2 linked regions of the Rhinolophus ferrumequinum genome follow. The protein of the gene in region 1 purifies or fractionates together with the protein of each later gene. This does not show direct contact. Links are inferred from orthologs where the notes say so. Each region holds a gene or a part of one and is shown on either strand. Other genes may lie near its edges.

Evidence for each region.
Region 2: the proteins of NUFIP1 (region 1) and ZNHIT6 purify together in Homo sapiens (affinity purification with western blotting; 3 studies listed by BioGRID and IntAct, with this or other methods). This does not show direct contact. The link is inferred for Rhinolophus ferrumequinum from reciprocal best matches to the Homo sapiens genes NUFIP1 and ZNHIT6.

The regions. Positions count from the first base shown.
Region 1 is NC_046287.1:5,885,893-5,893,569, reverse strand, and holds the start of NUFIP1 (FMR1-interacting protein NUFIP1), read right to left. Parts: upstream 3,049-7,677; 5' UTR 3,032-3,048; coding exon 2,644-3,031; intron 366-2,643; coding exon 283-365; intron 1-282. Other genes in the region: GPALPP1 (GPALPP motifs-containing protein 1), read left to right, coding at 3,253-3,340. UniProt on the Homo sapiens protein: Binds RNA.
Region 2 is NC_046292.1:64,429,576-64,437,733, forward strand, and holds the start of ZNHIT6 (box C/D snoRNA protein 1), read right to left. Parts: upstream 3,318-8,158; 5' UTR 3,233-3,317; coding exon 2,412-3,232; intron 1,093-2,411; coding exon 1,027-1,092; intron 941-1,026; coding exon 834-940; intron 749-833; coding exon 663-748; intron 1-662. UniProt on the Homo sapiens protein: Required for box C/D snoRNAs accumulation involved in snoRNA processing, snoRNA transport to the nucleolus and ribosome biogenesis.

The sequences.
Region 1 (7,677 bases):
ATAACATTTATTCATCTGTAATCATAATCCTCAATTACATTTACTCGATACTCCATTGAAATGGATTCAATGTTTTCACTTTCTATAATTTCTCCATTTATTTCTCAAAAAGATTTTGCCTGAAATATTTACTTACAGTTAAGATCCTTAAAGATCCTACTATAGCAAGGCTCCACTGCGTCAGTAATGGAGGCAAAACACTGAGAGTTATGACAGCAACACAAGACAGGAAAGAGCAATATAGGGACCAAAGTGGTCCATTTAAGAACATCTTCAAAATACCTTTTTCTTCTGTTTTCTGCTGGGAGGGCTGTTGAAGTCAGTGAACTTTGCATCATAGTTTCGTGGAAGATAAGAATGTTTAACTGAAAACAAAAAGAGATCCATAAATGTTCACAACGATACAATTATTTAAAATTTTATTTGCTGTAGCATGTCGTAAGTACTTGAGTAAGAAGAGTGGTAAACTACCTCCTCTAGGAAGAATAGCAGTTTGAACAAATTAACAAAGATTAAGACTGGTCTACCAAATGAATATTTTTCAACTTAATAACAGTGGTAAGACTAAGTGTCCACAAATGCATTAGAGTCTAAGTAATGCACAAGCTAAACCAATAAAATTCCTTGTGGTTATTTCAAACATTAGAAATGCAAACAGTAAAACCCCTGGTAATACAGGTCTTTGACCAACAATTTTAACCAGGAAAACAGAACCTTGTGAAATACATTTTCCCTCAGATTTTTTTCTTATTGCCATTACCCAACTCTGAAACCCTGACCTTTCATCTAGATTATTGGGACAGCCTCCCAAATTGTCTTCCAGCTCCCAAGTCCTTTCTTCCAACAGACCCTGCACACTGACACCACAAAAATAATCCTCCAATTGTCACAACCCTGCTGAAAATCTGCAAATGACGTCCTAGAGCCCTTCAATGAGATCCCGGTTTATGTTATCACCCTTCTCCCACACCCTCCCCCTACGCTGCTTCAGTCACACCGGAACACTGCAATCTTCAGGACTCACCTTGTACTGATACCTCTTTGTTTCCACCTAAAAAGTATCTCTGACTAAATATCTCCCAAGACACTTCTTCCAAATCCTTTTCCCAACTGTGCCACTCTCTGAAATCACAATCTATATGGCTCCATCACCAGTCACACTGTATTGTGATTTATACAGAGGGTACCAAAAAAAATGTATACACATTTTAAGAAAAGAAGAAAAACTGTATTAAAATTGTAATACAACGAATGCGCTAGCATTCATTTGATTAACGCCGTTTGCGTGAACATCATACTATACATTGCTACGCAATTCAACTTCGAAAAGTAATACATAGATAACATCTCTTAAAATGTGTATACGTTTTTTTGGCACCCCCGGTATTTATGAACCCATCTCACCTGACTTAGGACTGCCTTAGGCACACTCGTATTTCCAGCATTTGGTGCACAGTAAACACTGGTTTGTGTTCAATTTAATGTAAACTGAATCATATGCGGAGTTAGAGAATGGTTTTAAGAAAACAATCTCATGGCTTTCAATATGATCTATATGCTGATGACACCCACGTTTACAGCTCCAGCCAAATCTCCCCTGAAAGTACAAACTACTGGCCAACTGCCTATTTAACATGTCTACTTGACACATGCGTATTCCAAACTCAGTTCTTGATCTTCTGTCCAAATCTGCTCCACCCACCATCCTCCCTCCCACTTGTTTGGCAAAAAACTTGAAAATTATTCTTGTCTCCCCTTTACCTCACTCCCATCTCCAATCCTTCAGCAAATCATTTTGGTCCTACCCTACCTCCAAAATACGTCTAGAATCCAACTACTTCTCATCACCTCCTGAGCTGCACCCTGGTCCAGGGCCCTGATACCTCTCACCTGGAGAACTGCAATAACTTCCTCACTGGTCTCCCTTCCAATCAATTCCCATCAGTAGTCACGTTAACCCTTTTAAAACATAAATCAAATCATGTCACTCCCCTGCACTAGGCATGTCACAACAGGAAAAACCAAAGTGCCATCATCTACAAGGCCCTAACAGGTCTGCCCTCCTCCCCGATTTTCTCCAGTTCTAACCCGGGCTCAGTTCCCTCTAGCCACACCAGCTTCCAGTCCGATCTATAGCTCCTGCCTCAAGGCCTTTGCAGTTGCAGTTCCTTCGGCCTGTATCCCCATCTCCCAGACGTACCACCATCTGGTCTCTCCCCTCCCTGAAGTCTCTGCTCCAATGTCACCTTCCTCATGGCTGACACTGACATTTAAACCTGCACTATCTATCCTTCTTCTTCGCTTTATCTCCCTCCGTAGCACTCACTGCCGTCTCACACACACGGCTTCACCTTGTTTGTCTTCCTAAACCAGAGATTATGCTCCATACAGATAAGGATTTTCGTATGTTTCGTTCACTACTACATTCCCAGTTCCCGATACATCGTGGAATTCAACAAATAACTGCTAAACCGAATGAACAGGCGAGGGAAATTCCTGTCGGACAAATTGTGAGACATTAATGAGCAGACTCCCAGAGTGCAACGCAGAATCAGAAGTGCAAAGAGGGGGGGAAGGAGAAATGGGAGAGAGAAAAGGGGAGAAGAAGGGAAGGGGGGTGCATGGAGCGGAGTAAGAGCCTACCTGGAGTGTTGTGGGACTTCTGATGCCAAGGGACACTACCAGGAGACTGTCTCCAGTACCATGATGTCGAAGCCTGGAAATGCCAGGAAGGCTGCCCGTTGATTTGAGGCTGAGAATCCAGGCGGGACTGGGTGTCCAAGTGGGGCTGCGCCCCGGGAAGAATCTGGGCGTGCAAGCGGGTGTCCACGAGGAGCTGCGCCTCCGAGGACGGCTCTGACCCTCCCGCGGGAGGCGACGACGAAGGCGGTGGCGGCGGCGGCCACATGGCCCAGAGCATCCAATTGTCCCGCAGCGGCGCAGTGTCGCTCAGAAGCCCCACCGTGGGGGTCGGCTCGGGGGCTGAACACCAGCCCGGGGAAGTCACGAAATCACTAGCCGGCTCAGCCATGCCGCCCGCCAGGAAGGGAATCCGGCGTGCGAATGTGGAACACGATTTATGCGTCACTTCCGTTGTGGCGAATTACACGTCTCAGCCAATCACAGGCTGCAATGTCATTGGTGGGCGCCGGAAAAACTTCCAGCACTTGCGACGGATCGCGGGCTGCGTTTTGAGTGGGTTTCGCTCTGCGAGGAGAGACTTGCCTGCGTTACCAGTGTCCGCAGCCGCGCATGGCGAGGGATCTGATCGGCCCAGCTCTGCCGCCGGGCTTCAAGGCCCTCGGGACCGCGGAGGACAAGGAGCGGGACCCCAGCCCCGGTGAGCCGCCGCGCGTCCCCTGCTCGCCAAGCCCGCCCGCCCCTCCTCTGGCCCGGCCTTGCTCTCTGAGTGAAGGTCTGAGGCCTGGAGGGCGGAGGAGTGGGGAGCGGCCGCTGCCGCCCTGGGTAACCTTCTTTCTCCAGCTGTAACAGTGGGGAGGAGGCCGTGGGCGGGGGGGTTCAGAAACGAGTTTTAGCCTCCTAATCATCATAACGTTCCCATTGAACGCAGAGTAGGCTGGACGCTGTGCGCAGCTATCCATACACTTTCAGTCGTTTAATCCAGCAACTGTGTAAGGTAAAGGTTATTACTGCTGTTTACAAAAGAACTTCCAAACCTATACAAAAGTTTTATAAGAGTTTATTTGAGCCAAATTTTTTGAGGACATGCCGGGAAGCAAGATCTCAACGGGTTGAGAAAATGCTCCTGAGAATAAGTTTTGCAGTTTCTTTTATGTATTTAGAATCAGATGCGAAAACGTAAGGAAGCTACATGAAATCTATTGGTGGTAGATCAAGGAGGGGGTAGATTAAGGCAAAGCAGGGAAATCTCTAGGATTGAATAAAAAGCAAAATGAGGAAACATTTATGTTGGTGGGTACAGGATACTTAACATTTACAGTACAGAGATAGTACGGGGGGAACAAGATGATGAGGGGTTCTATGGTCTTGTGCTCTGGAGCCTGCGGCTGTGCCTTTGAGGGGTCTAGAAAAAAAATTACTCTGCCATTTCAGAGGCATGTTATTCTACTTACATAAGAACAATGGACAGGATTCACTTAAGCTGAAGATTGACCTTCACTAAGGAAGCTATAGGCCTGGCGTGTGACTACCCGCTGCGACCTGCCCAGCTAGGAATTTGTGATCAGATCATCCTGTGTGGTTACTTTTGGTCACTGAGCTTGTCAGGCCTGCCATGTGCTTTCTTCTCCCCCCACCCCCACCGCGTTTGTCAGATTTATTGCTCAGCCCCCTTTTTCGTTATAATCGGAGACACTGAGGCCCAGGCTGTTGCCCAGATCACACAGCTAGTAAGTGGTAGAGCCCCGATTAGAACAAAACCAGTACTCTTAACTTTTGTGTCTTAATTGCCTTCGGATGCACAATGCCCTGACTCTTGGAGAAGACGTTTTGCTCTCTAGCCCCCGACCTGCCTTCCTAGCCTCTGGTTCTGTCATTGCATCTGACACACACAGCCCAGTTCTCAAACCAGTCCGAGTTTCTGCACAGTTCCTCAATTCTCTAAGCTCCTTCTGGCTTCACTCTGCACTTCCTGACATGCCTGGCAAACTCCTATCCAATCCTTGAAGGCCCAACTTAAATGTCACCGTAGTGAAGCCTTACCAAACTCTTCCAAGCAAGCATTATCACGCCTTCTTCTTTACCCACAGAGTTTTTTCTACTTAATCATGTCACATGTAATACATTGTTTTTGAATAACTTGTTGACTTATCTGTCTCCACTATTGCACTATGGTTTTCTGGCCTTAACACAGTAGGCATTTTTCATTGGCCAAGTAAATGCTTCTCACACTCCTCCGTGCATATCCGTCTCCTCTAATGTTTGTTCTGATGTGTAGACTGGGACTGACTGACCAAAGTTGGAAAAGAGTAACTCCCATTTCTCAATCCAATTTGACTACCCAAAGGCCATGTTTCCACCTAGAGGTTTCCTTCCAGATCTCCTTTCTGTTACAGTTGTTAAAAGGTCAGGCTTTTATTTTAGCAAGGAAGGTTCCATTCAGCCATGGTTGAATAAAAGTGAGGTTAACCAAGGTTTTTAGTTGGGTTCCCACATGTATGTTGCTTTTGGTTCACCATATTCCCAGATTTGAAACCAAGGCAGGATTTGCAGGTAAGCAACCACCATCTCCCAATTAGATACTTCTGTTATGATTTGCTTCCATCATTCTACCAGCAGTTACTCCAGGTATTCTCTGTCCACTGTCTCCTATTTGCTTGTTTTGTGTGTGCATTCGCTCCCACCCCCACCTTCAGCATTTAACACTGTGTACCTGTGTATATCCCCCTATACCTTGCCCCAACCTGTCTGGCACATAAAAGATCCTTTGTAATGCTTGTTGAATGACTACCTCTTTATCAAGCACAGTATCTTGCACATGTCATTTTTTAACACATAATCCCACTTATGATAATTCCATTTCCTTCATAACTGCCTAGATGGTTGATCCTAAAACAATTGCCAAAAAAATCTTCAGATGTCAGTTTTTGATCTCATTCTTCTTATATCTGGACTTTCAAAAAGTTTATCAATACCAGTATCCTTGAAATTCACTATATCCCCTGGGGCCATCTTCCAGTTGCTACCTGCCTCCTCCCTCTTTCAACCAAAGGGTAACCACCATCCAGATTTATAACATCAGAGGTAAGTTTTGCATGCGTTTGTGCTTTATGTAAATAGAAAAATATAGTACGAACTCTGTCAATTTGACTACCCCCATTTAAATAGTCATATAATATTTGTCCTTGTGCGACTGGCTTATTTCACTTAGCATAAATGTCTTCAAGGTTCATCTTTGTTGTAGCATGTGTCAGGAATTCCTTCCTTTCTAAGGCTGAATAATGTTCCATGTATGTATATACTGTATGGACCACATTTTGTGTATCTATTCATCTGTTTATGGACACGGGTTGTTTTCACCTTTTGGCCATTATGAATAATGCTGCTATGACCATGGGTATAAATGTCTACCTGAGTCCCTGTTTTCAGTTCTTCTGAGTATATACCTAGAAGTGGAATTACTGGATCATATGGTAGTTCTGTGCTTAACTTTTTGAGGAACCACCATAGTGTTTTACATAAAAGCTGCACAATTTTACATTCCCAGGAATACACTGGGGTTCCAATTTCTCCATATCCTCACCCACTCTTGTTACTTTCTGTTGTTATTTTTTTTTAATAATAGCCATTCTGATGGATATGAAGTGATAGCTCATTGTGGTTTCGATTTGCATTTCCCTAATGTTACTTATTTTTGAGCATCTCCTCATGTGCTTGTTGGCCTGTGCATCTAGTTTAAGAAACTTGAATTTAGAGTCTCATTTCCAAAGTAAAAAATAATAATAATAATTAAACAGTACACTCTCAGTGTCTCAAATTTCTAATTTATAAAGATACACATGATACACCAAACGATGACCATAAGACAACAAAATAAGAATAAATGATTCTAAGAATATTTTGGTTATGAAGAAAATATTGTATTTTAGAAAGCTGTGTACTTCGTATTTTATCGCATCAGTCCCGGTCTTATATAAGTCCCGGTCTTATATAAGATCTAAGACCAGGTATTACATTAATTTTTGCTCCAAAAGACGCATTAGAGTTGATTGTCCGGCTAGGTCTTATTTTTGGGGAAACACAGTATGTGATAATTAAAGGTGGGTGCAAATATGGTCACTTGGGGGAGAGAATGGGACCTAAGACTGAGCTTTGAGAATTTTTAACACTTGGAGGTTTAGCAGAAGATAAACTAGTTGAGGAGAAAGGAGGAGCAGCCCAAAAGACAGGACACAATTGAGAGTGGGGTATCAGAAGCCAGAAGAAAAGACAGTTTTAGGGGAGTGAGCCACACTCATATGTTTCAGGTAAGATGAAGACTGAAAAAGTTCCATTTGATTTAGCAGCATGGAAATTTTATTCTTGTAGGAAAAATTCGGTACTTACCCAGTGTAGTGATTTCCAATCAGAATCTTCAAGAAGGGATATGGAATTCTCACATCAGAACTCAAGACATGTAGTTTTTCTTTTATTTATTATTTTTAAGTTTTTGTTACTTTTAATTGTGAATGAACAGCATACCTGGCAAGCTCTTTGGAAAATCATATTTCCAGGCCAACTGAGTCAGGTCATTGGGGAAACAGCCCAGAATCTTTTCTTAAAAAGATATTTTGGGGCCGGCCCAGAATATCAGGTGGTTGGAGCGCCGTGCTCCTAACACCAAGGTCGCTGGTTCAATTCCCACATGGGCCAGTGAGCTGCACCCTTTACAGCTAAGATAACAACAGCTCTCCCTGGAGCTGGGCTACTGTGAGCAGCTGAAGGTTGGTGTGTGCTGCCGCAGGCTGCTGTGAGCGGCGACCAACGACCGTGGACCTACTGCCTCAGCCGGCGGGGGGAGCGCAAGACTCGTAATACCAGCATGGGCCAGGGAGCTGTGTCCTACGCAACTAGACTGAGAAACAACGGCTTGAACCGGAGTGGGGGGCAGAAGGGGAGGTGGAAGAAAGGGGGGGAAAAAGATGTTTTGGCAATTCTGATATACATCCAAACTTGGAACTATGGAAGTAGAATTTCAGCATCAGTGCTTCACTGCAT
Region 2 (8,158 bases), on another chromosome or scaffold:
CATCTTCCACTCTTGCCAGCTAAAGTCCATTTTCTACACAGCAGCAAGAGTGATCATTCAAAAAGAAAACACTCTCAAAACCCTCCCATGGTTTCCATTTTCACTTAGATTAGAACCCTCACCAGTTTCTCTGAACTCATGTTCGACATTCTCCTGTCAGCTATGCTTCAGTCACCTCACTCCTTTTTTAATTCCTCAAACACACCAACCTCATTCTTGATTCAGAGTCTTTATTTTTGCTTTTGTTTTTACCTGGTAAGTCTTCGGCCAAATGTTCACATGACTGCTTCTTTCTCATCATTCAGATCGCTGCTTAAATGTCACCTCTCAGAGGAACTTCTCCTGACCACTGTATCAAAAATGGTACCCTCACAACTTCCACCCAACAAACACCATTCTCATTTTCTTTAACCTCCTGTGCTTTCTTTATTTTCCACATGCATTTAACTATATCTGAAATTATATTTGTTCTTCTACTTATCTCCTGTCTCTATCCCTACAAGCTCCATGAGGGGAAGGACTTCGTTTTGGTCACTGCTGTATCCTAGTAACTGGAATAGTCTGAGACCATGGTAGCTACTTAATACATTTATTTGCTGAGTGAAAAAAATGAATCTAATCAGAAGGAATTCTAATAAGAATGGATTAGAAGAAATACTTACATGTTTATTGCTTAATGGTCTTTTCAGTAAAGCATCTCTGGAAATATGGTCTGCTGTTCTTGCCACATCTTCCAAAAATCTATAATCTGCAAATTTCAAAATAGAAAAATAAACAAATGATATGTGTCAATTTCTAGAAAACATCAATCTGCTATGCATAAGATGGCTTACCACTTAAGAGATTCATTTCAGTAAACTGTTGTACTGAAACATATGCAGTTTTATCTCGAACTCCATTACATGTCAGTTCTGCTTTGTGCTTCTTTACACAGGGCAAACTAAAGAGACAAAGAGGAAGTACTTTTATACTTGGAGGTAACAAAAGTACAGATAGAGGTAATAAGGTAGGAAATTACATATATACCTGCAAGAATATCGCATACAACGTGGACATCTGTATTTTGCTTCTTCTGTACCACAAGTTTCACACCTATAAAAGCCCATATGAAATTTAATTATCAAATATTAATTCTCCCTATTTGTTTATAAACTTAATCTGACTTAATTACTCATCACAATCAATTTACAGAGATAGTCGTAGTGAGTAAAGTATAATGCATGTAACTGATAAAATACTTAATAGCTGGAAACTGTCTCCAAATGACAATTACATTTATAATATTGTTAATGACATGTAATTTAAAAAATGTATTAAATTTTAAAAAAATCGTCTCACCTTTGACTTCTTTTTCTACTATAATCAGAGAATGAGATTTTCAATGATATTTTAACTTGTAATTCCCGGCAATCTGCTAAAGATTGTGTGAGTGTGTGCATATTATACCCAGAAGTCCAATCCATGAGCTAGCTATGTTTAGCTATCTTAAAGGCACACACACCAGTAGAAGAATGTAAGACCCAATCGAATTTAGACAGTAAAAAGAAGTTGCCGTGTTTTCATTTTCGTTTATCTCAAGATGGAAGGGGAGCTGACTCTGGGTGGTGAACACACAGTGTGATTTATGGATGATGTGATACAGAATTGCACACCTGAAATCTATGTAATTTTACTAACAATTGTCACCCCAATAAATTAAAAATAAATTAATAAAAAAAAAAAGAAGTTGCATCTTTTTTCCTCAACCCCACCCCCAACCTAGAATGGGCATCAAAATAATCTTGAAATGCTATTACGCATCACCTGTCTTCAACTGCTCTTCTAGGATCTTGGGATACTGACAACCAAACTACAGCTACTTCTATTTCGCCTATTGTGTCCTAGACAGTAACAGTCCCAAGAATTTGACCACACTTTTATTTCCTATGCGGCCACAGGATTACACACTATTTGGAAATTAAATCAAAAGTAGTAAATATTCATAGTACCCATACAGAAACTGGACAATTGGGTGAGTTCAAGTGCATTTTGTCTAATTTTAACTCAATCCACTCTGTCATTGTTGGTTTTATGAGATTTTTCTCTCATGTTTATCCTCTCTCAAGATACTGAATCAAGAGCATAGTAGTTAGTCAAGCCAGAATCTGGTCCACAGGTTTTCTGGTTTCCACAATTTTCACCTCCTAATTTGCTCACCGGACACTAACAACCTCTGATTTTCACTGAATTTGTTGCCACCTGACAAAACCCTCCCTTACCAATTCCCCACTTTCACCACTCAGGCTCTAGGAGCCCCAGATTTGTGCTTCTTTTCCATTATTCCACACAGCGCTGGTAGTGTAGTTTCCTCCGATCTAGACATGAGACAACTCCACAGCTTTATTCCTCCACTGGGTATCTCCCTGCCTTACCTTGACATGGCCAGTTTCCGCTTGGAGCCCACTGGGCAACTTATCTGAGGCTCTTCTTTCACCTTTGTATCATCCATCATTTCTTGCTTCGGGAAATACTTTTCTTCTTTTACACACACCTCATCCATCATTACCTCCTCTTTTATGTTCTGACCAACAAACGCCTCCTCCTGTTTTATCTCCAAGTTTTCTTTCTTCTCTTCCTTCACCTCTAGCCAGTCCATCACCTCTTCCTTTACTTTCACTTTCTCTTCCTTCACCTCTGGCTCATTCATTTTCTCTTCTTTTACCACCAAACTACTACCTATCTCCTGCTTCACCTCCGATGTGTCCGGTTTCTCCTCCTTCACCTCCAATGTGTCCGGTTTCTCCTCCTTCACCTCTGGCCCATCCTCCACCTCCTGCTTTACCCACTGGCCGTCCAGCATACCTTCTTTCATTTCCGACCAGTCCATAACTTCTTGCTTCACAACCGATAGGTCCATTCGCATTTGCTCTGCCTTTTGTCCACTTCCTTCTTCTCTACTCCCTATCTTTCCCAGTCCTGTCAGTTCATAACCCGCCTCTCCACCGCAGGCCTCCTCGGTCCCTGCTACGGACCTGACTCCCTCCGTACAGGACTGGAGACAGAGCCGCGCCCCTTCAGCTCCAATCTGGAGACCGCCTCCCGACGTTCCTTCATTCTCGGCAGCAAAATCCATCAGCTCACGACCCCTGGCATCCGCTGCCACTCTGTCCTCCAGTATGGCTGGTCCACGCCAACAGTATGAGCTACCGGCGGGATCACCGACAGCGGCCCACGTGTGGGGCAGAGAAGTCATAAGCAGTGAGCGCCGGCCTGGCGTGTTCCTCCAAATCGTCGTAAAGCAACACTTCCGCGCTTCGCCACTTCACGACTCGTAGAGTTCTTTACGGCTCTGCAGCGGCCCGGCCCAGATACTCCAAATTGTCATGAGGCCACGCCCACCACGGTCCCGCCTTCGGGGCGGGGCTTCGCCAAATCCTTCCCCTGGGGAGGCCGCTTCCCGCCACACCTTCTGCGCGTGACTACATTCCTCTCTGTGAAAACTGGAGGATCCGGGCGGAGAGACAAGCTAAACCCATTATCTTGGAATGGAAAGATCCACCCTGATTTATATTAAAGATTAATCTTGTATGAAAATGGAAGAAATACCTTATGTTACACCTCTCCAATCTTCAGTTTCTTCACCTAGAAACTAGACACGACGGTATTGCAAATCTCTTAGGATTATTGTAAAGATCAAATGGAATCCTGCATGGAAATAAGCTAGCAGTGACTGAAACAAACTCAATATACGGGGCTATTATTACTGAGAATCCCTATAGGTTTCAGATAGGAAAGAAAGCATTAACTTTCGTTCTTTCAATTATTTGTCAGTAATAGCCCACATCGACCAGTGCCCCACTCCCAGCATCCTACAGGATTCTATATATACTACTAACATACACATACACATATATGTATATATGTAATCTTAGAGTTATATCTATATATCTATATCATATGTATCTATATGATACATATATATATATATATACACACACACACACTCCCTATTTAAAAACTGGGCCCAAAATTCAATCCCCAGGACTAGAAGATCTAAAAAATACAAAAATACACAGAATGTTTCAATTACTCTTTAAAATTATTATTACATTATAATAATAATGTAGGCAATTCACTTAATCTTCACATCATGTCTGTGATATATTTTTCTCACTGCACAAGGAGACTCCAAAGAAATGGCTTGGTAGCTGTGGGCTGCTTTGCACTCCCCCCTCAAATCCTGTCATAATTTGGAGGGCATTTAGCTGTTATCATTCATTCACACATTGCTCAGGGAATGGGAATTTTGAATGGATGAGCAGAATGAAGGAGTAATTATAAAACCTTAGTTGGGGCACGACCGTTTGAACAGTGCTGGAAGGAGGATTGAAGTTGAGAGAGTTTAGTAACATCTTTGTATGGATTGTGAGGAAGAAACTTCTCGAGGAATCATAGCCTCTTTTGGAGATACTTAGAGGTGTCAGCCGTCTACAAAGTCAAAAGGAGCCTGACTGGATTTTCAGGCTAGATGATATGTTTACACTTACGAAAAGGGGCTAAATGACAGAAAGAATCCTGGTGGCCTTGATAAAGACAAGGTTTGGGAGATGGGAGCAATGAGAGGGAGTGTTGATCCAGAATAAAACCATCTGGATTTCCAGAGAAATTTCTGGACCTACAGATCAGAAGCATAAAGACTTTGTAAAATTTGGAACTTTTGTCATTTCCTTCATTTGTTCTTATAATCTGTGTATTTTTTTTCACAGTCCCTGGAAGGGAAATCGTTACACCAGAGAGGATCCTTGGTAGCATCACAGCTAATCACCTAAATTAAACAATCAACACTGTGGGACTATAGTTTTAATGGAGATATTGGAGGTTGTGGTGGTATCCTTGAATGGCAGTTTTGAAGGAAAAGTGAGGCTTGAGTAGCTCTGGAGGAGGGAACTTTGGGTTGTGGGAGTATTGAGCCAGGGTATTGCCTGCAAGAACAGAGACAGGGCAGGGACAGAGAAAGGGAGGCAGAAGGTACGTGGGGCTGTCACTGAATTCCTATCCAATTCCTGAAATCCTTTTCCCTCCCTTTTCCACCTCAGTGGAGTAAAGCTCTGTATAAGCCTGGCTCCTTCAGTATAGGATTGAACCTTCTTGCTATAATACCCTAACATTAGTCTCAGGTCTCTGTACTGGGCATTCCAGATTACAAATTATTTTTCGGTGTCTGTGAGGGTGTTTCTGGATGAGATTAGCATTTGAATCAGTGGACTCAGTAAATAGCCCTCCCCCATGTGGGTGGGCACCATCCAATCATTTGAGAGCGTGAGTAGAACAAAAGGCAGAAAAAGGAGGAATGTGCTCCCTTTTGCTTTCTGTTTGCCTACTTGAGTTGGGACATCTCATCTTCTCCAGCCCCTGGAATGGGTTTTAAACCACTGACTCCCCTGGTTCTCAGCCCTTTAGACCTAACTGAATTACGCCATAGCTTTCCTGGGTCTCCAGCTTTCAGACAACAGATTGTGGGACTTCTCAGCTTCCATAATCATGTGAGTCAATTCGTCACAATAAATCTCCATATTATGTATATATATGTGTATATATATTATTATTGTAATACATATACATTTAATATATAATGTATTATAACATAGTTTATATATATATATATACATATATATATATAAAATCTATAAAATCTATATCTCTATATCTATCTTTCCTACCAGTTCTGTTTCTCTGGAGAATCCTAACTAATACAGACTTTTACTTTTATTATCCCCATTTTACAGTGAAGAAACTGAGGCAATGATGAATATACTATATAATACACTCAATGATGAATATATGTCACACAGCTACTCCTCAGAGCACTCTGCTACTACCGTGTTTCCCTGAAAATAAGACCCAGCTGGACAATCAGCTCTAATGTGTCTTTTGGAGCAAGAATTAATATAAGACCTGGTTTTATTTTACTATAAGACTGGGTCTTTACAATATAATAAAATACCCAGTCTTATATTAATTTTTGCTCCAAAAGACGCATTAGAGCTGATTATCTGGCTAGGTCTTATATTCAGGGAAACAGGGTACTATACTGCCTATGATTAAGTTGATTCAAATTTACTTTAAAATTAATATTTTAGAAACAAAAGAAACAAAGTATTTCTATTTTATATATATTTCTTAAATTATATCTAGGAAATCATTTAGGTCTCTAAAATAGGTCTCTTTTTTTGGGGAGGTAACAAAAGGTAATAGCATGTAGACTGAAACTAGAATTTAAAACTATGGTTTCCTTCCTTTAAAATAAACCTTCACTGTTTTAAAAACATTTCTATGTTCCTTAAGCAGGAAATCATACATCTTTGCCATAACTCCATTAGAAAAAACTATGGCAAAATATACTACATAAAATTGGTCATTTTAATCAATAAAGTACACCATTCAGTTGCATTAAGTACATTCATATTGTTGTGCAAGCTTCATTACCATCTATCTCCAGAAATTTGTCATCATCCTAAACAGAAACTCTGTACTCATTTAAAAATAATTCCCCATTCCCACCTCACCCAGCATCTCTGGTAACCTCTATTGTATTTTCTGTCTCTGAATTTGTTCTATTCATGTATTTTATATAGGTGGAATCATACAATATTTGTCCTTTTTTCCTTGTCTAGCTTATTTAACTTAGCATGTTTTTAAGGTACATCAATGTTGTCGCATGTATCAGAATTTCATTTCTTTTTAAGGCTGAATAATATTCCATTGCATGTACAAACCACATTTTGTTTATGCACACTTGGGTTGTTTCCATCTTTTGGATATTCTGAATAATACCTCTATGAACACTGGTGTACAAATATCTGCTTGAGTCCCTTCTTTCAATTCTTTTGAGTATGCATACATGAAGAAGAATTTCTGGATCATATGGTAATTCCATGTTTAACTTTGAGGAACTGCCAAACTTTTTTCCACAGTGGCTGCACCATTTTACAATCCCATCAACAATGTACAGGTTTCCAGTATATCCACAACCTCACCAACACTTGTTACTTTCTTTCTCTCTCTCTCTGGATAATAGCCATCCTGATGGGTGTGAAGTGGTATCTAACTGGTTTTGATTTGTATTTTCCTAATGACTAGTGAAGTTGAGTATCTTTTCATTTGTTGTCCATTTGTATACTATCTGCTTTGGAGAAGTTTCTATTAAGTCCTTTGCCCATTTTTCAATTGGGTTGCTTGGTTTTTCTTTTTGTTTGTTTGAGTTGTAGGAGTTCTTTATACATTCTGGATAATAATCCCTTATCAGATGCATGATTTGCAAATATTTTCTCCCATTCTGTGGGATAGCTTTCACTTTCTTGACAATGTCTTTTGATGCACAGAAGTTTTAAATTTTGATGTAGTTCAATTTACTGTTTTCTTTTTTGATTGTGCTTTCAGTGTCATCTCTAAGAAGTCAGTGCCAAGTCCAATGTCATGAAACCTTTTCCCCTATGTTTTCTCCTAAGAGTTTTAAAGTTTTAGCTCTTACATTTAGGATTTTGAGTTAATTTTTATATATGATGTAAGGTAAGGGTCCAACTTCATTCTTTTGCATGTGGATATACAGTTTTCCCAGCAGCATTTGTTGAAAAAATCTTTCCTTTTTCCCATTGAATGATCTTCCCACCCTTATTGAAAATCAATTGACCACATATGGAAGAGTTTATTTCTGTGTCATGATCTCATTTTGTGCAAATGGGAAATAGGCCATATAATCCTTTTATAGGTATGTAACAGACACTTTGCAATAATGCATATATATATATATATATATATATATATATATATATATATATATATATGTATATTTTAGAGAAGGGCTGTACCAGAGGGGCTATCATATATAATAAAAGTATATGGCAACAAAAGAAGAAAAACAAATACCACCAAAACAAATTTAAAGCAAATTTTTATTATAGATAGGTAAGTGTGGTTTGCTGCAGCTAAAGGTATGTTTATAATGAATGTACAAGCTTTTCTAAATACCAAAGGTATAATATTTTTCTTCTAATAGTGAACTAACATTTCTCTGGCAACAAGAAAAGTCTGAATTGGATGAGCCTATTTTAAATGGCAAAAGACTGTTTTATTTTTTTTCTGGATTTTGCTTAAAAGATTGATAAATTTAATTCTTTTA